Linked DNA regions of Diceros bicornis minor. The protein of the gene in region 1 interacts with the protein of each later gene in a pairwise test. Links are inferred from orthologs where the notes say so. Each region holds a gene or a part of one and is shown on either strand. Other genes may lie near its edges.

Region 1 (9,718 bases):
ACAGCAAATGACCAACTCATATTCCACCAGCAATTTTCTTAAAATGGTAAGCCATTCTATACTTAGTGTAGAATCTGGGATAGTTCCCTTATATATAAATTTTCCAGCTTTATTGCGATATAATTGACATGTAACATTGTGTAAGTTTAGGTGTACAACATGATGATTTGATACACGTATATATTGTAAAATGATTACCATGTTAAGGTTAGTTAACACCTCCATTATCTCATATAGTTACCAGTTTTTTGTATGTGGTGAGAACCTTTAAGATAGTTTCTTTATATTTTCAATTTAAATTTATTACTACCAGAACCCTGCGTGGTACCAGAGTTCACTGATACCAATATATGTCCTTTCAATTATCTGAATTTACACTTTTTTTAAGAGTTAGCAAACTGTTACTCAATATCCAGACTTAGGATTTCCCACTGGATTCCAATTTGCAGGACATGAATATAATAATGTTTTTCTCATTTAAAATTATGTTCAATATATAAAAACTGATTTACTTACAATATGTACAAGTATATTTGAATCATATACATCTTGCTCTACAAATGTAAGACTGAGATTCAAACATGCTTGCACAAATTGAAAAAAATTATTTACTGTAAGGCAATAACATAAACTTAAAAAGTTTGGTTCTAATAATTACTTATAGCTGACAAAGCACAAACAAGTCCTTGGTTAATAAATTATTTAATTCAGAGACAGGCAACTTTGCTTAATTTCATCCCATCTGTGGTACGCATTCTAAAATAATGTGTCTTTCATCTGGTCACTATTGTCTCTTGCAACGAATGCCAACATATAAAATTGTGTATGCATCTGGAAAACAAACACAAAGTATCATAAATCTCTACAGTATACTGCAAAAATGGTCACAATTCTTTGCAGCTCCTGCTATAAAAGTCTGAGTCTATCTCCTCATCTTGATCTGGACTGGCCACGTGGTTTGCTTTGGCTAACAGTATGCAGCTGCAGTGCCAGGGGGCCAGTTCTTGGCCTAAGCTCCATGAAGCTCTGTAGTTTCCTCTCATGCTGCTCTTGGAACCATGTGAGGCCATGCGAAGAGGTCTGGGCTAGTCTGCTGGACAATGGGACACTGTGTCCTCATCACCCCATGATCCCATCTGACAGCCTACTAACAGCCAGGACACGTGAAAGTGTCCTGAATTACCCAGCCTCCAGCTAGCTGCTGGCTGACTACAGAACACCAGCCAAGTCCAGCACGGATGAGCCAAGCTGGTGAAGACCAGAAAACCCTCTCAGCTGAGCTACAAAGCTACGAGATAAACAGCTGCTGTTTTAAGCCACTATGTTTTGGGGTGATTTGTTATGCAGCAAAAGCTAACTGATACACAAGACATGGGAAAAGATGGATTAGCAACAGGGCCAGGCTACAAACTGAAAGTCAGCATGGAAATTTCCCTCTCCTTTATCCCCTACCACACAAATGGTCTCCAAATCCTGCCATAAGCATGTCCAGAATTCAGCAATTCTCCTCCATTTTCTTATCTTTGTTCAGGCCCTCCTCCCTTGCCTAGACCACTGCAATAGCTTCTTAATTGGTCTCTCTGCCCTGTCACTTGCCCCTTTCTCCACGGCAGACATTCTCTAACAATGCTGATTGTTAAACTGATTTTCCAAAACCCAAAACTGAGCATGGCAGACTTCCACTCTGAAGACCACTCATTCCTGGATATCCCCAGGATGAGGTCTAAGCACGGCACCAAATACTCTTCTCAAATCTGGTCCGAGCCCAACTTTTCTGCCTACTTATATGACAACATATTCTCCATCCACACTGAATGCCTCACCATCTCCCAAAGCCTTTACAAATTTGGAGCCTTTGCACCTCTGTCCCCTCTGCTGGAGTGCCCTTGTCTACCTGACTAAACTTCTGATCCTCCCTTCTGACATTCTCTCTGAAGCCTTTCCTGAGAGCCAACAGGCAATCAACCACCTCCAATACTACATAGCTGTTCATGACCCCCACTTAGGACACTTTTTATAACTATTTATCTATGTTACCTCTTTAGACCTCTAGGGACAGAAACTACATCTTATGTTCAATTAGTCTCATGGTACACAGTAGGCTTAAAAAAAATGCTTGTCGAGTGAAAGAATGAACTAAAGTTTACAGGACATGATCTGGAGCCTCACAGACCTAGGTGTGAAGTCCAACCCAGACTGTGGACAAGGTCCCCTCTCTGATCCTATTTCCTGCCCGTAAAATGGGGTAACACCACCACCCCTGCAAGGTTGCTCTGAGGATCAGAGATAATGTATGTCAAATTTCAACCTCAGTCCATGGCATAAAACTGGTATTCAATAAGTAGCAGCTATAATTCTCATTATGCTCTTTTGACTATTTTTGTAAACTCAAACTAAGCTGTGACTTATTATTTGATATGTTTTATCCATCAAACATATTATTATCTCCTATTCTTAAATGAAAATGTGGGTGAGCTGAATTTTATTTCTCTGTAAATAACAGCAGCAGATCATCTACCTCCAAGCTATTTTTTATTAATGGCTCTTCTCAGGGCAGTTGGCATGCTCTAAAGAAAAACAGTCCCTAAATCCTGTTCTCCTTGTTTTTTGTTAGGCCTCTTATGACATAAATAGGACTTTTTAATAGGCATTTATACAAGCAAAACTTTTACATAACTTATTCATGAAGTTTAACAAACTCCTTGCAGGAGAGTTTTCCAGAGATTGGGAAAGAAAAGAGTATTCCAGAAGCCTGTTGGTCTAAATGCAAAAGAAGAAAAGCCAGGTGTCTTTTGAATATTTTCCAGGGAACCTGGGATAGGTGTGTGTACCAAGAGTGCGAGTTTCTAAAAATGTCAACTGACAAACCACAGGTAGAGAAGTTAGAAATGCAGTGCTCATGCCACTGCTTCTTGTTCCTCTCCTTCTAATGCACTAAACTCTCATTATCCAGTTTACTAGCTTTGGTGTGGTGGATAGAACACGGCTCAGAAGACCTGTGTTCCATGCCTGGCATGACCCCTAGCCAAGGTGGTCATATCAGCTCTCTGAACCACAGTTCTCTTCAAATAAAGACTTGAGCTAAATGCGCTCCAGAGGCTTCTAGGGTTAGAGGACTCCACAGCTTTGATTTCTCTGCCCTGCTAGCTTTTTTGTCCACTGATTCCTACCTCTACCAGGACCCACCAGATCATACCTTTAACCCATCATCCTCAGCACAAACTATAACCTACCAGTGGTATTGCGACATCCTCATAAGGAAGCTTGTCTTCTCGCCAAGCATCATCAATCAAATCCAAGATCCTTCCATCTCTCTGGACCTCACTGTCCATTCTCCGGCAGCTTTATCTTGTCAGATCTGTAAGCCAAAGAGGTTATTTCTTAAACACGAAGACTGAGATGACGTAATCCCGCACTCGGAGTTCCCAGGCTTTTCGGCCTGGATATGTCTTTTGGGATAACATCACCCTGGGAACGACTCACCTCTTGCCTGGGTCAGGTGACAACTTACTTTATAAGATCACAGTCCCTTCCTCCTGCCCCCTCACTGCTCAGCTTTACAGTGTTATCGGACAGACATCAGACATAGCCCAGTTGACAGACCAGTGTCACAGCGTGACAGGAGGCCAACATACCTGAGGGCCTCCTTTACAAGGCCACAGTACATCTTGAATGTAGCTTTTCTCTCCTAAATTGCACACTCACCTTTCCCTGTTTGAGATGCCTTTGATGGGTCCTTGATGCATAACCAAGTCTCCTCTCTGGCCCCTCTAGCCTTTCCTGCACCATTTTTACAAAAGTCTCCACCTGCCTTGGCTCTAATCTCAGCATTCTTAGGCACAGGAGCTAAATGAACACACTGAGATAATGCTGAACAGGGTTACACGAAGTGACCAACGACAGATTTGACAGAAATCCTCAGTTGAGCCTGTAAAAGAAACTGCTTCCTTTCTGAAAACAGCGCCCAGCCTGAGCTCTGAAAGGAGCACCTCTAGGTGAACAACAGTGGCAGTACCCCATGCTGCTCGTGTCTGTTTCCCTTCAGGGTTCCTTCCTCTGATTCTCAACGCCATACTCCCTTCCATGCCTGGCCCAAGCAGTCAAGCGGCTTACTTAGCTCCTTGACTACAGCTGATTCCCTATTTTTCTCCTAAACGGCTGCTGCCAGCTTGGAGGGCACCTCTGCATCTCGTTTCCAAGTTTGGGCTCTTGCTTCTTCATCACAGGCACCAGACACCACCCTACTGTGCCACCTGCTACAAAGCAGCCATCCTGATGGCTTGGAAGCCAATGACACCAAAGGCACTCTTTTATTCCCAGTTTGAGACTATGAAGATTCATACAAGAAACAATCTTCAGGTGCAGAATCCAACTCCTTCATACAGGCCTGTGCTTGTCCCCAGTAGTGTGATTGCAAGGTAACCCTAATACCTGTAATAACTGTACAGATTGTAGTGGCAGAAGGGTTTTGCCCCCATGATAAGGATCCAGGCAAAACTGAAGCAAAAGGTGCCCAGCTACTTCTGCCACCAGTGAACATGATGAGGTCTTCACGTTTAACTCAACGATTAATCCAGGACTGCCCAGTGGACAAGTGAAAGCCAAGGAACCTGTCTTTAGGAAATCCACACACAAGGAGTTCCTGCCCTCAGTTCCAGTTATACTTTTGGAGTCCCTGGACTCCAAAATCTGGAGTCCTATAAGACCCCTCCCTTTTCCTGCTGCCACTCCTTCGTCCTTGCTGCTCTGCCCCTGGGGATACCCTCCTTAATTTTCTAAGGTGACCAAAACCAGCCGATTTTCCCAGTCACACACAGATTCCATCTTTTTGTCAAGTTTTCTAAAATCACAGCAGCTTCAGCAGGCACTCGGCCCTCAAATGCTTCCTTCTTGTCCTTAACATCTACTAAACAAGTCAGGTCGCCTCTGCAACCCACTGCTCAGGTATAATTGTCTCCAAGTGATTTTTTTTTTCTTTCTGCTGAGGAAGATTAGCCCTGAGATAACATCTGTGCCCACCTTCCTCTATTTTGTATATGGGACGCTGCCACAGCATGGCTTGACAAGCTATGTATGCATAGGGATTGTTATGTGTAAATTTTGTATCAATGCCTCAGCACATCTTCCCCCAATGTGTCCTCAATCTTTATTCACCCGTTCCTTTTCCAAACACCTCTAACCCTCTCATACTTGCCAGCCTCTGCACTTAAAACCCTCTTTCCCCCAGCACTAACACCTACTTTTCCCTCCAAACTCAAAGTGTGCGTCAGCTCTTCCGGATCAACGTCCTCCTTCCACAGTTGGGCGCTAAATTGCCTTCACTCTTAAGGGGCTGGAAGAGTGGAAAGCATCAAGACAGGCGATGTCCAGGGCACGGCCACTGTCCCAAGCACTTGCCACACTCGACAGAACGAACCACTACCAGTTTCCCGAACAAACTGTTCTTACGCACGTGACAGTCCCAATGCCTGGAAGGCTTTTTACTCTTTTTCCCCAGCTAATCCCCAGTCAGTCTAGAAACTCTCGGGTCGCCTCCCGCAGGAGGCCCTCCCCCAGACCCAGGCGCGCGCGCGCCCGCCCCTGCAAGGGTCCCATGGCTCCCAGGGCTCATGAACGGTCCCGACGGGAGGCTGCCACATCGCCGGTTACACGTCCTCCCAGACAGACGGTGCGTGCGCCCCCCGGGGCAGGCCTCTCTGTGCTCCAGAGCTCTGTAAACGCGCAGCTCCGCGATCAAAGCAGGAAGGCGTTTTCCCTCACTAGAAATGACCCTCGCAGGCCACCACCGTCGTACAGGTGAGGCTGCCCCCGCCGCGCCTTCCGGCCCGGGCTGGAAGTACCAAAAGCGGAGCGGGGGAGGTCCAGGCCCGCCACGCGAGTCCTCTCCACCGGACCCGGCGTGTGATAGGCGAATGAGTATGAGAACGAAATGAAAGCCTCAGCTTCGGCCGACGGAAGTTGGAGAAGCGCGACGCTGAGGAACAACGCGATCCCGCCCCTCCAAAACCTAGGCCTGCAGCGCGGTAAACCCTTACCGGTACCCGACCCAGATCGCACCACTTCCGCCAGACCCCGCCCTCCTCATCACGTGATCCGCACGCCCTTTTCTCCGATCCCCGGATGTGGGTGAGCCCATTTGCTGGCGCGGAGGGGAGGTCAGGGAGGACGTAGTGTCAATTCAAAGTGAGGGCGCAGTGGGCGGAACGAACGTGCCGGCGACGGAGGCTGGACGTCAGGTTGGCGGTGACGCGCGTGCGCGCCCCCGGCCGGAGGTAACGGCGGGAAGGCTCGGGGGCGCGCTCGCGGCAGCCCGTAACCGCATGTGCGCACGTAGGGCCGGCGAGGGCCTGAGGGGTTCTGGGCTGGAGGCCGCTCTGGCTGCAGTGGCGCCGCCGGCCGCGCGGCCCCAGGGACCGGGACTGGCTTCCGGAGCTGCCCGCCTGCCGCCGGGCCCGCCCCCGCCGGCCCGGGCCCGCCCCGGCGCCCCGCCCCTCGTCCTTGCCGCGGACGCCCTGCGGCCGCGCGAAGGCGACTATGGCGGTGCCGGGCGCGCCGTCCGCGCCAGCCAGGTGGTCAGCCTCTACCCGGAGGCTGGGAGGCTGGGAGGCCGGGAGGGCGGAAGGGCGGGGGCGAGCTGCTCTCGGGCCCTCACCTTCCCTGGCGGAGCCAGGCTTCCTCCCCGGGGGAGGGACCCCGGCACAGCCCTCCCGCCCGGGCTCCGTGCCCTGTTAGCTCCCTAGCAAGGTGCGACTTAGGTCCTGGACGGCGGGTGATACCGGTTCATGTGTGGTGGAGAGGTTAGCGATTTTTAGCAAGGGAGTTGCTTTACAAACGTTAATGTTAGTACAGGAGATACGGAACTGTGGCAGAAATCGTGAAGGACTGAAGTTGGGGAACCCTGAACTTAACGGATTGCTCCATACGGATCAGGGATGGGAAATAAATGATAGAGTGAGAGTTTAAAAGGGACGGTTCTGTAGGAACACTTGAATCATGAAGATATTTGAAGACAGTAAATCTAGGCTCATAGCGTGGTTTTGCTTATGTCTCTTACAACAGAAGAGTAAAGAGTCTGCTGTCAGTGACTGGTCTCCGTTTACAGTTACAGTGCACTTATTTGCACAAAGTAGTTTTCATTGAGCCTTACATCCGATTCCTTAAACCGGTCTTTGAAAAAAGTTTTTTAATTCCTTTAATAAAGCAGTATTGTAGGGTAGGTACCCTGTAGTTATGCAGTTCCCCACATGCTTACATTTAATTTTATTTTATAGCTATGAAGAGGAAATCGTCATAAGGATCATCAACTACATGTTACTTTCAAATATTTACATTTCTACTTATCGTAGCTGTAGCTTAACGATAAGGTGTATGTATTTTCTTATTCAGCTTGCAGTACCATATTTAGATTGATTTTTATCCTGAGCTTCTTGCCCTTTGACTATATCATTATCACTGATCAGGATAGTAAAAGACAAATTAAAATAGGTTAGAGATTTATAAACATTCAGACAGTCACACCGCCCTTTAAGATGTATGTAGATTCAAGTTTTAAAATTATTTGTAATAATTGTGTATGTTAATTGTACTGATGCCATTTTCCTCCCATTAATAGGTGGGAGACGTTTGCTTGGTCATCCGTATTCTCATTTGTGTAGTAGTGGTGGCTGGTGGTGACAGCATCAGTAGTCCACTCTATCAGAGCTTCCTACTTAAAAAAAAAAAAAAATGTTAACTTGATTTGAAATTCAGCTGAAGCCAACATTAATATAGGTTTCAGGAACTGAATTTTTGATTTTTATGTTATGTTAGGTTTTTTTTCCCCTCCAAGAGCTAAGTTTTTTTTTTTCAGTTTTACAAAACCACAGTGTTGTCATCACACCTAGGAAAATTAAAAAAATTACATAATGTCAATATTCAGTCTGGATTCAGATTTCCCCAACTGTCCCTTAAATGTCTTTTTACAATTAACTTGTTTGGATCAAAATCCCATAGAGATCCACATGTTGCATTTGGTTGATACACCTTTTAAATCTTTTAATATAGCAGTCCTTGCCTCCCTTTTTTCCCTTAACATTCTAGATTTAGCTGATTGCATCCACATGGTATCCTTTAACATGTACATCTATTCCCTTTATTTCCTGTGAACCAGTAGTTAAAGCTAGAATTGCACTGTCCACTATAGTAGCCACCAGCAAGCTGTGGCTATTTAAATGAATTAAAGTGAAATAAAACTAAAAATTCAGTTACCTGGTTGCATTATCCACGTTTCAAGTGCCCAATAATCACAGGTGCTTAGTGGCTACCATTTGAATAGTGTGGATAGAAAATATTTTCATAATTGCAGAAAGTTCAGTTGAACAGCACTGATCTAGAAGCTGGATCAGATTCAACCTTGATTTTTTTTGGTGGTGGGGGTAAGATTTCCTAGGTGCTGCAGTACACATCCTATTGTATTAGTTATCAGAGAGGCATGCAGTGTCTCAGTTGTCTCTTTTTGTGATATTAAGATTGAGCAGTGTAGTGGCTTCAGGTGTTGTCAGCCCAATCCAGCCATCATGAAATTCCCCATGAGCCTTTCGCTCGATGGTGAATTCTTTCCATGGATTTAGATTGCCTATAACCATTATTGCATTAGGGGTTGCAAAATGGTGATTTTCTAGTTCTATCATTCCTTCAGTGTTTATTAGCTGGAAATCTTTTATGAAGAACTTTCCCCACCAGTTATTTGACTGCCATCAGCTATTTGAAATACAGTTTGTGCAGGAAAGGCAAGAAAAATACTTAATTCTTTCCCTCTATTTTCAGACTACGATAATGAGTTGGTGGCCTAGCAACCTCCAAAGGTAACCATGAGGGTTTTTGCCTTTTTATTTTTTATCATGAACTTACAGACTTGAATATATTTAAACTGTTTCAACCTAGTGTAGGTTGACAATACTCACATTGTCCTGTCTTTGGCCAGTGGCAGCCCTTTTAAGTTGGCTCCTGTCCACTTTGGTATGACCAGTAGTCTTTGATAATTTCCTTGTTTTCTGGTAAAACCTCTTCCTGGCTCTTTTATACATTTCTGGCCACTAGGAAGCCCTGGTTCCTTTGAGCAGTGTTTAGAGACCATAGTCTGGGTGCTGGAGGTGCTCTTGCTATTAGGCTGGTCATTGGTTCTAGGATTTATAGCAGCCAAAGATAGGAAATACTTTTTTTTTTCTTGTTTTTTTTTTTTTTTTTGGTGAGGAAGATAGGCCCTGAGCTAACATCTGCCAATCCTCCTTTTTTTCGCTGAGGAAGGTTGGGCCTCGGCTAACATCCATGCCCCTCTTCCTCTATTTCATATGGAACGCCACCACAGCATGGCTTGACAAGCGGTGTGTCGGTGCGCACCCAGGATCCAAACTGGTGAACCTCGGGCTGCCGCAGCGGAGCGCACCCACTTAACCGCTTGTGCCACCGGGCTGGCCCCAGGAAATACATTTTTTTTTTTCTTTTTTTGAGGAACATCAGCCCTGAGCTAACATCCATGCTAATCCTCTTTTTGCTGAGGAAGACCGGCTCTGAGCTAACAAGGAAATACATTTTTTAAAAGAGTAATATACAGAATTCACACTGATATTTCCAACTTAATTTTATAGTTTTTTCTTTACATATTTGATTTTTTTATTTGTATCTTTTTTGCTGAAAATCATCGTATCTAATGTCATTAATATAATTACTTTTTTTCTTA
Region 2 (10,246 bases), on another chromosome or scaffold:
GGGGGCTGAACTCCAAGGGAGTCAAAAGTTAAGGGTCAATCCGATGGGAGAAACCTGACTTGATCTACTGGACCTGGGGTTCTGGTACCCCAACTCAGAGGATGATTTCTCCCAGTTACATTCCTGGGATCAGCAGCCAAATCCTCCAACAGAATAGGGCCAGGGATCAGAGGGAGGGTGATCAGAAAGGACCAGGGGCTGAGGGGCCTAGGGGAAGATCCCACTCCTTAGCCAGGCTGCATTTCCCCATCCAGTGATGGGGAGGGTCTGGGGAAAAGGTCAATGTTACAGACAGAAAGGTGGGCTGGGTCAAAGGGGTGGGGTTGGCACCTTGTTTTCTTCCAGGAACTTGAGCTTGATGGCCACATCTCCCCGCAGCTTCTCATATTTGTCCCGATGGGCCTGGAAAGTGGCCTGGGCACTCTCGAGTCGACCACGGGTCGCTGCATCCCGAGGGCCTAGGCTCAGCTCCTCTAAGTCTGTTCGGTAGGCATCATATTCCAGCCTGGGGAGGAGGTGATATAGGCTGGTCTCCACCCCTTTGTCCTCCACACACTCTTCTTTCATTCTTCAATTCTTATGCCCTTAAAGCTCAAACTTCCACCCATGCCAGCCAACTCCCCAAACCCTAGGCCCTGCCAGTGCCCACACCTGGCAGCCTCATACTGTTTGACAGTCATGAGTGTGTCTTCCATGGTCTTGGTCACCAATGTGTTGATGCTAGAGACAAAGAAGTTCACAGCCCCTAGCAGTGTCTCTCCATTCTTGCACAGCAGCTTCTGCGTTTCCGCATTGTAGCCAAATTCCTCCTGAGGGCAGAAGGGAGGGGGCAGGCCTTGAGTAACAGTCCCTACCTGACCAGAACTGTAGAGCCCTTCATTCCCCTCCTCCCCAGGGAGGAAACAGCCATGGAAACTGGAACAGTCAAGGACTGCCTCCAGCAAGGCTCTTAGCCAGAAAGTTAGTGGGGCCACCCTGGGGATACCTAGGGTAGGAATGTCGGGTTGGGGTTCTCAGATAAGTTCACAGGACTAGAACAGGGAAAGCTAGTGCAGCAGGCAAGGGAGGGGCTCCAATTAGGCTGAGCACCGAAGGCATTCTCACCTATGCAGAGAAGGGTTACTTGTGGGGCACCTAATGTGCTGCCTCCCCCACCCACTCCGACTTCTGGACCTCTGTACAAACCCTTAGGCTGACTCCACAGGTGAGTGCTGTTGGGGGTAGGGCTGGGCCCACCCTGGAGGGGTTCTCCCTCTGGGCTGCAGGGAGGGAGTGAGGGAGGGAGGCTGAGGGGAGACTGCCTAGGAGGGCCTGGGCCCAGTCCCCCCCACCCTCTTTGGCCTGGCTGAGGCACCTGAAGCTCTGGGGACTTCTGGCTGAGGTCAGCAAAGGCATCACCTAGTGCATGCTGGGTCTGCAGCAGGCTGTAGAGGTGGGCTGTCAGTGCCCGGCCCAGCTGCAGGACACTCTCATACTTGCGCTTTGTCTCACGCAGCAACTCAATCTGCAGCTCTAGCTCCAGGTCCACAGTCCGGGAGCCTCGGCCAAATCGCTCTGATAACAGCTGCTTTGTGCACTGAATGGGAAGTTGGGGAATAGGTCAGAGACCCTAGCACCCTGCCTCCCCAACAGGTATCTACCCCAGCATCCCCAGGCTCCTCGTCTTAGCCACAGATGGGATATTAGGATCTGGAAGGTGGGGAAAAGGTACTCAGGGGGAGTTTTGGGGGAAGGGAGAGGGGCTTGAATCCCACCTTATATGTGTTGATGCCCCATTTCTTGACAATGTCAAACTTCTCTCCAGCGATGCCCCGAGCCACCTCATCTCCAGGGCCAGCAGGAGTGGCACTGTGAGATGGATGGCGGCCAGACCCTAAAGGACCAAGGGTACAACCAGACACCTCTGTGGCTCCACCCACACTTCCCTCCCAGCACATGAAAACAGCTTCTTTGAAGGAGTGGAAGCTAGACACAATTAGATTCACCTACTCACTAGGAGGAACTCATATCTCGGGCCCTGAGACCCAAATCCCAATATATATCTGGCCTCCTTCTGAGGTGGTGGAGATTGGATGGGGAGGGGAGAGGGAGTTGCTGGTGTACAGGGGCAGAGGAAACAAAAGAAAATATGCTGAGTATGGGGTGGCAGGTCAAGGATGGTGGGTCTTGATAACAGGAAACCTGGTTGACACGCTCATGTGGAATCCTAGTCAGTGAGAGATTCAGCGCTGTTTGTTCCTCTAAATTTTAGAGTCTAACGTAAAACTCTGAGAAGCTCACAGAGTTCCAAATCAGCCTCATGCTCCAGAGCACGGGGAACTCCTGTGAAACAGAGTTCTTAACTTGACTCAAGTGGTGGCAGCAGAGAAAGGACAAATGGGCGCATCTCAGGGGCTAAATGGCAAGTGGGAGTAGCTGAACAACACTGGTAACTGGCCTTGGGCTGAGGAGAGTCCATAGGGTTCATACTAGCAGAGGTTCCCAAGATCTCTGGACATAATTCAAGCTTTCTTAGATATATACTACACTCCCCAGAACCATTCCTCTCCCCCTCTCCACTCAAGCTTCTTGGCCTGTTCTGATCATTCATACCTGTGGGGATGAGTCCATCACCAGAGCCCCCATAGCCACCAGACACAATGCTGGTTTCATTGAGATTGGGTCCTGACACCATCACTTGCTGGAGGTCCTATAGGCCAGAGAAGAGGGGGGCTTCAGGAACATAAGGGCAGCTGAAGCATTTTGGGGATGAGAATAAGCTTGGATTGAAGCATCATAGAGAGAGTGCACAAGGGAAGTCTGCACAGAATCAGAATGAAGATTTATAAAAAGATTGAAGGGAGTTAGATAAGTTAGGGGAAGCCTACTGGAATAGGGGGTCAGAGCCCAGGGTTTATAAATTAGGATTCCTAAATTGAAATATTACGGAGAAGAAGCAAACAGAAGCACCTGCTCCAGCCCATCATCCTCAGGAAGCTGCCCAGCTTCGCCGTTGCCATGGATGGGGATCTCCATGGTGGCTGCCTTCCCTAGGATCCCGTCCGTCATGGCTAGGGAAGGGACTGGAGTCAAAGTCTCCACCCCAGCGCCCTGCAAAGCCCAACAGAGACAGTTCTGGAAACTGGCCAGTACTACAGAAGAGGAAGGTATCCCCTGCCATTCCATAGGTTTGAGAGGTTGTTCCAGGGCTTGAGTGTTCTGGGGTTTGGCCACTACTCCTTTCTTCAGGCATGTATTTCTCCCCTCCAAGGCGCATATTTTTACACATTCATACTCAGGCCTCAGGTGTCTTCTCATGACTCCCAACCCCACCAGGACTCTATTGATCATTCATGCATTCAATCATCCAACAGACATTTAATGAGTGCATACTATGTGTCATGCACTATTTGAGGCAACGGAAATACAGTAGCGAACGAGACAGACAAAGTCTGTGCTTTCTTGGAGCTTATCCCCATGCAGGTGTTTCCCCCCATGAGGAGAAGAACCCCTTTCCAGAGCTCAGGTGCCTAACCCCCATTCAGGTATGTTCTCCATTGCTTGGCCTTTCACACTCTTTTAGTGTTTGTTCCCCTTTCCTTCAGGTGGTCTCCCCCTCCTCCATGCCATGCACCTCCTGCCCTACACCCAGGCCTTAATTGAATCAGTTGGTATCTGTTCTTGGCCTCTGAGAAAAGCCTCTTTTTCCCAGGATATAGGTGATCCCTTTCAAAGTCAGTTATGTCGCTCCAGGTGTGTGAATGCCCGCCCCCCCCATACACCTGGGCATCAGGTGTGCCCTCATCCTTCCTCAGGGCTCAGAGGCACCTTGCCCTCAGGACAGGCTTGTGCTTTCAACTTCCCCTTGCCCAAGTACGTCCCTCTCACCTCGGGCCGGGCCGCTCTTCCCCTCAGGGCGCCAGGCCCGGGCGGCGCGGGGACCTCGGGTTCCAGTTCCCGTCGCGATCCTAGCAGCAGGTCAGGGACTCGGCGGAAGTGACGTCCTCTCCCGGGCAGAAGAAGCCGGCCACGTCGCAGATTATAAGGGCGGAGGTGACGTTGGCAGCCGGGGGCAGGGCGATCCTTGAGCCAACTCCTCATTCCTTGGGGAGCTACGAGAGCTTACTTCCGGGGCGTTACCGAGAAGCTGTAACGGAAGTGACGTAGCCGCGCGCCGGCGGCGTGATGGAGCAGCAGCAGCAGCAGCAACAGCTGAGAAACGTGAGTGGGAGCTCAGTCGCTGAGGGGGTATACTTTCAGCTGGCATCCACGTCCGCGTGGCGGGAACCCCAAAGAGCCAGGGGTCCGAGGGCTGGAAACGTCGGGCTGTGGTGCTCGGTGCTGGGAAACCGTGGGCGGCGCGGCTTGAATTGAGATGCGGGCCCCCTTGTCTCTGAGTTCTTGGTCTCCTTTTCTCCCAGTTACGGGACTTCCTGTTGGTCTACAATCGCATGACGGAACTCTGCTTCCAGCGCTGCGTGCCCAGCCTGCACCACCGAGCTCTGGATGCTGAGGAGGTGGGGACCTGAGTAGAGAGGGTAGGCTGCTCCCTCCTTCCCTCACTTCCCCCATCTCTGGCCCTGGCCTTTCCACGACCCCTTGCTCCTAGGCTGGGGATGGGAAGGAAGGAGACGGACCTGACAGGACACCTTTGGCCTCTACTTCCACCCTGTCTTCCTTCCAGGAGGCATGTCTGCACAGCTGTGCTGGGAAGCTGATCCATTCCAACCACCGCCTCATGGCCGCTTACGTGCAACTCATGCCTGCTCTGGTACAGCGCCGCATCGCAGACTACGAGGCTGCCTCAGCTGTGCCAGGTGTTGCTGCTGAACAGCCCGGAACCTCGCCATCAGGCAGCTAGCCATCCCCAACCCCAGGAAGGGAGGCGCTTGATGGACCCTCAAATTGAAGGAGCCAGTAGACCTTGGGCTGGGTGCGGCCTGTATAGAGAGAGAGTTGCTTGAGAGCTGGGTGCCATTGCTCCTTTTCCTGGAGCCAATAAACCCGCTTTTACTCTGTTTCATTTATATTCTGGGCAGGGAAGCTTTGCCCACTTTATTGGGACCATGCTTTGTTTTGTCAGTTAGTGCATATCTGCTGGCTTCAGCCCTGGCAGGTGGGAAATTGCCTTCTATGTCTGGAAGGAAAACCTCAGCATTCCCAGGCAGCTGGTTAAAGCAAGGTCTGTGGGTATAGTTTTAAGGTTAATAATAGCAACAGGAAGTTGGTTTCTGCCCAGAAGACAGAGAAAATGGGAGCTCTCTCTAGTTGTCCTTAACTTAAACCTCTCTGACTTAAACGGCCCACTTTTGAGCCAGATATGCGTTCCTTCATAACTGTTTTTTCATGGACTGTGTCTTACAAGAAGGAATTTTGCCAGATTTAGGGAAAGGAGGCAGTATCTAAGGACAACAGATCAAGAAACCACAGGGCTTTTAGGCACTACCTTCTGGGAAGTCAGTAGCCCCAGGACAGAGATGAAACCTGTAAGAATTTTGGGGTTTTCCGGAACTTCCACCATTTCTTCAAGTTGTTACTTTGTTACTATTTTGTGTCTTCCCTGGATGAGCAGTAAAACCTTTAAACAAAGAAGGTCTATATGCCTTGTCTTCAGGGGCAGTCAGAAAAGGGAAAACTTGGGGGACTGTATTCTGTAATACAGTCAGACTTGAAGGAGAGAAATCTAAGGGAGAAATAGATGGTGGTGGTTATGGGAAAAAACAAGGATAAAGCGAAATCTTTGGGACCTCTTTAATATTACCTTAATGTCTCACTGCTTGTCTGTAATCTAATTCTAGCTCCCCTAACTTCTACCCCACCTTGTTCCCACTGTACCCATTCTGTGATTTCTAATTCCATCTTCTACATTCTTTTCTCATTATTGGCCCTCTTGTGGAGTTTACTTCTGTACTTAGCAGTCTGAATGGCACTCCATCAACACATTTTCTTGCCACCCTTGTGTCCTTTTTGTGTCATTTCAGCTGTTTTATCTTTTCTATTCCTCATTCAAGCCGTTAGAGGAAAACACAGCTGTGTAATGAATGCCACTAAATGTTCAAGGTCTGCAACCCCAACCAAGCCCTCACTACCAACAAGCAACCCTGTATGAGTTCCTGGTCTATTCCCTCTCCTAATCAACATGGCAGTGATTTTACACCTTCACTGCTCTCCTTAATCCTCCACCTCACCCTCAACTATCCCCCATCAGGTGAACACGTTTCATTTTTTACAGAGGAAATGGAAGCTCTTAGACATTAGTTCCCAGAATAATCAAAAACTCCTTATGACCACCCACAAAGCAGATGTTCTCTCTTCTCTACGGATCAGGGAGGTGAAATTCTCCAGTAGCAGACTCTGTATTAAAATGCAGATCTGACTTTAAAATCCATGTGCTTTTTACTACACTAGGCTGCCTCTCAAAGTAATACCTATTGAGCACCCAGTTTGTATAGGTTCTGATGTTGGTATATGTTATGCTTTATCTTAGTTAATCTTTACAACAAAACTATAAGTAAGAGGTATTATCCCCACTTGACAGATGAGGAAGCAAGAATCCAGAATGTACCAGAAGCCCATCTTATACAGTTACCTATTAAGAAGAGTGGTTGCAATCAGCTTTTTGCCTCCTTAGCTGCTGTCTCTTGAACAGAAAAATTTATTAGGAACGTAAAAGTTGCTGAGCAGGAACTTTCCTATTGACTGGCTTCATGTCTACCCAATAAAATTCTGTCCTTGGAAAGTATAAATGCAAGTAAACCATCTTTTGAATTTACCAATTCCCAGAGATGGGAATGAGGCCCTGGGATATTGTGCTGCTGGTGGGAGAATTCTTCTACATTAACATTTGTGTGTATCCTTGCAGTAAACTTCCCTTGTGAATTATCTGTGTTTCCAGGTCACATAATTAGTAATTGCTGGAGCAGGGCTAGGAACATAGATCTGTCTGACTCTAAAGCCTATGTTCTTTGAAATTCCACAGTTTATATTTGCTTGCTCATCTGCACCCATCCAGTCCTTAGGCATGGAAAAACAAGTGGCCCTCAATCTGATCCATCAATTAGTCCCTTAAATTTTCAATCTTTTCTGTCCTGGTTCTTGCTCCTATTTATAAATATGTTTGATACTTAGAAGTACCTTATTCCTACCATCCATCTTCCATAGTTGTGGAAATCTCGCCCTTAGGTCTTGCCATAAACCGTAGTCATTGGCATAATGAGAGCAATGGTGATGTCTCAAGTACAACACAAGAATAAATGTTGACAAAGCTTTATCCCTTTATCACAAACATTGGAAACAGCGTTGGTGTTCCCACCATTGCGGCTTTAGAACTTAACTGCCCACTCATTTGCAAAGACTGATTCCTTTGAGACTATTCAACTATACCACTATCTCTCATTACTTGTTCTTAGTAACTACCACTCTCCTATTTCCTCTAAATAGCTATCCCTTGGTCTTCATATCCACCCCTTGGTGCTTTAATGTTTACATGGACAGTCCATTCAGTATTTTGGTCTCTTAATTCCTTGACCTAATCTCCAATGATTTCCAGTCTGTCTTAGCCAGCCACTCCCTTAGTTATATCCTAGCCATCGTCATCAGCCCAAACTGCTCCATCTTCAAAACACTGTTACTTGCATCTTACTCATTGACAATATTTCTTCTACTTTGTTTATCGAACTATTCCTCTACTACCATTCTTTGATTTCACTGGAGCATTCACGCCATCACTTCTACCTTCTCTCTTTCCATTAACCCCTTCCTGCCTTTAGATTACTATCCAGCTGAAATTCTTGTGATTCTCTTGGAATAAGCTAAATTTCCTTGCTTCATGTCTTTGTTGGACTCTTAGATGAAATGAAACATTTGTGCCTGCATTTGGGCAGCTAAAAGCTGCCCAAGGAAATCACTGTAGAGCACATTTATATCAACATGAATCCGTGGTTACCAACTTCAAATGGAATCTCAGCCCCTGTAATCCCACCAGGTTTTTCTTTTCATCTTTTCTCCCTGCAATGATTATTTCAAACCAATATTCTTAAGCTTCTTATTGCCCCCCACCATTCTCTTCACTTTCTGCAGGTAACCATATTTCTTACTTCATAGGCAAAAGTAGAAGCTATCAGTTGAGAACTCCTGCAACATCTCGCAACCAAACTTGGTCACTCACCTGGCATCTGCTTCATTCTCTCCTGTCTGAACAAGGCAAGCATCCCTCTCAAGGTTAATGCCTATTCCTGTGCTCTGAATCCTAGTCTGTCCTTTGGGAATCTCTGACTTTTTCCCACTTTACTTCTCACCAGTGTTTAACATGCTAAAGACTCCCTTGTTACAACAAAAAAAACAGTCTATACCTCATTTCTCCTCCAGCTACCATCCTGTTTTTCCACTTTATAGCTAAATTCAAAACAGTTGGTACTTTGGCCCTCTCCATTCCTATTCCTTCACCCAGTCTGTTTTGACTTCTACAACTTTTATTCTATTGAAATAGTTCTTAGGGAGGTCACCCTGGTTCACCAAGTGACGTTCATGTTTCCGAGTCCAATGGTTATTTCCAAGTCCTCAGCTTACTTCACTTCTCGGTAGCGTCTGTTACTATCGACTAGTTCCTCATCATCGACAGTCTTCACTGGTCTCGGGGATTCCACCCACATGACTGTACCACTACTTCTTTGGCTGCAGCTTCTTAGCCTCTTGCAGGCTCATCCGTGTCTGGCCTTTAAATATAAGTTTCTCTAGGTCCTGTTCTTTTTCGGTTTAATTTTTCTAGGATTGTTTCATCCGCACTCTGGGCTTTAGTTACTGATGACCAGATCTCTGCTCTGAGCTACTTGATTGACATCTCCACTTAGGCATCTCAAAAACATCCCATACGCAACATGTTTCCTCATAAACTTTCCTCCTATGCTTACCACTCATCCAGTTGCAGAAGCTAGAAACCTCACTCATCCCCTCACTCAATTGGCAAATCCTATCTGTTTACATTTCTAAATATCCCTTGATTCTGTTTGCTTCTCTCCATTTTCACAGTCTCCCACCAGCATTATTGCAACTTCTGCTTCTCCCCGTATCCACTTTTGCACCCCTCCAATCTGTTCTCCATTCATTGGCCAGAAAACACAAACTGATGCTTAAAACCTTGCAATAGCTTCCCATTCTTCTTAGAATAAAAACACATTCTACACAGGACCTACAAGGCCCTGCATGATCCAGCCTCTGCCTACCTCAGCTTTGTCTTATCAGTGACTGTCAAACACTGGACTGCCAATGCTGTTTGTTGAAGTGAATTGAATTGAACCACACCTCACTCGGCCTCTCTGTGCTCTAGCCACACTGGCCTTTCAGTTCCTTTAACCTGTCACACACTCTTCCATCTCAGGGCCTTTGCACCTGCTGTTTCCTGGCTTGCAATGCTTTCCCCCTTACTTTACCTGCTTAACTTCTACTCATTCTTGAGTACTTAGTTCAGATACTGTTTCCTCAGATAGCTCTTCCCAGACTCCAGCTCCCATAATTTCTCATGTTTTTTAGCATATAGCCCTTCTAACAGTTGGTAATTATATACCTCATGAGGTCAGAGTCCATGTCTGTATTGCTCACCATTGAATCCTTATCACAGTGCCTGGCACGTAATATCTGCTTGATAAATATTTGTTCAATGAACATTTTTCAGTCTCCCAGCTCAATCTTCTATTTATTAACAAGAGAAAGGCTTTTTTCAGAAGAGACAGAAGTGAATCTGTACTTAAACTTTGACCTTTTGCCCATAATTTAGAGGTGTTTTTCATTCAAAATCTCACTGGTTGGTATCTTCTGCTCTTAATATTCACAGATCAGTCAACACCTGAAAGCCTCCATCAGGAGCAAATCATTCTCTGTCATTCTAGTTTCATTTCTTTTTTTTTTTTTTTTTTTTTTGCTTGAGGAAGATTAGCCCTGAGCTAACATCTGTGCCAGTCTTCCTCTATTTTGTATGTGGGATGCCTCCTCACCATGGCTGTTGAGTGGAGCAGGTCCATGCCCAGGATCCAAACCCGTGAACCCAGGCTGCCGAAGCAGAGTGCACAGAACTTGAACCACTCCGCTGTGGGGCCGGCCCCTCCACTGAATTTCTAAGTACTATAGTTCTGCTTAAATACTCTTGAACCCTTTCTTTTCTCTCCATCTTCTTTGTCACCACCTTAATCAAGCTTTCATCAGCTCTTATATAGATTACAGCAGCAGTCACCTAAGAGCTTCTTCCCTGAGTCTGGACCCCTTTTGATTAGTT

What was found. The genes of interacting proteins can lie anywhere in the genome.
Region 2: the proteins of CEP63 (region 1) and ARFIP2 interact in binary tests that used the Homo sapiens proteins (3 or more experiments, as listed by UniProt). The link is inferred for Diceros bicornis minor from reciprocal best matches to the Homo sapiens genes CEP63 and ARFIP2.

The regions. Positions count from the first base shown.
Region 1 is NC_080741.1:18,002,398-18,012,115, reverse strand, and holds the start of CEP63 (centrosomal protein of 63 kDa), read left to right. Parts: upstream 1-5,847; 5' UTR 5,848-5,929; coding exon 5,930-6,126; exon of another isoform or gene 6,127-6,157; intron 6,158-6,192; exon of another isoform or gene 6,193-6,272; intron 6,273-6,664; exon of another isoform or gene 6,665-6,744; intron 6,745-7,752; exon of another isoform or gene 7,753-8,700; coding exon of another isoform or gene 8,701-8,843; intron 8,844-9,718. Other genes in the region: ANAPC13 (anaphase-promoting complex subunit 13), read right to left, coding at 3,234-3,332. UniProt on the Homo sapiens protein: Required for normal spindle assembly.
Region 2 is NC_080746.1:64,547,450-64,557,695, forward strand, and holds the start of ARFIP2 (arfaptin-2), read right to left. Parts: upstream 3,973-10,246; 5' UTR 3,868-3,972; intron 3,091-3,867; 5' UTR 3,049-3,090; coding exon 2,950-3,048; intron 2,690-2,949; coding exon 2,593-2,689; intron 1,926-2,592; coding exon of another isoform or gene 1,874-1,925; coding exon 1,755-1,873; intron 1,577-1,754; coding exon 1,355-1,576; intron 810-1,354; coding exon 652-809; intron 506-651; coding exon 331-505; intron 1-330. Other genes in the region: TIMM10B (mitochondrial import inner membrane translocase subunit Tim10 B), read left to right, coding at 4,165-4,200, 4,401-4,496, 4,664-4,840. UniProt on the Homo sapiens protein: Plays a role in constitutive metalloproteinase (MMP) secretion from the trans Golgi network. May have important functions during vesicle biogenesis at certain cargo subdomains, which could be predominantly utilized by secreted MMPs, such as MMP7 and MMP2.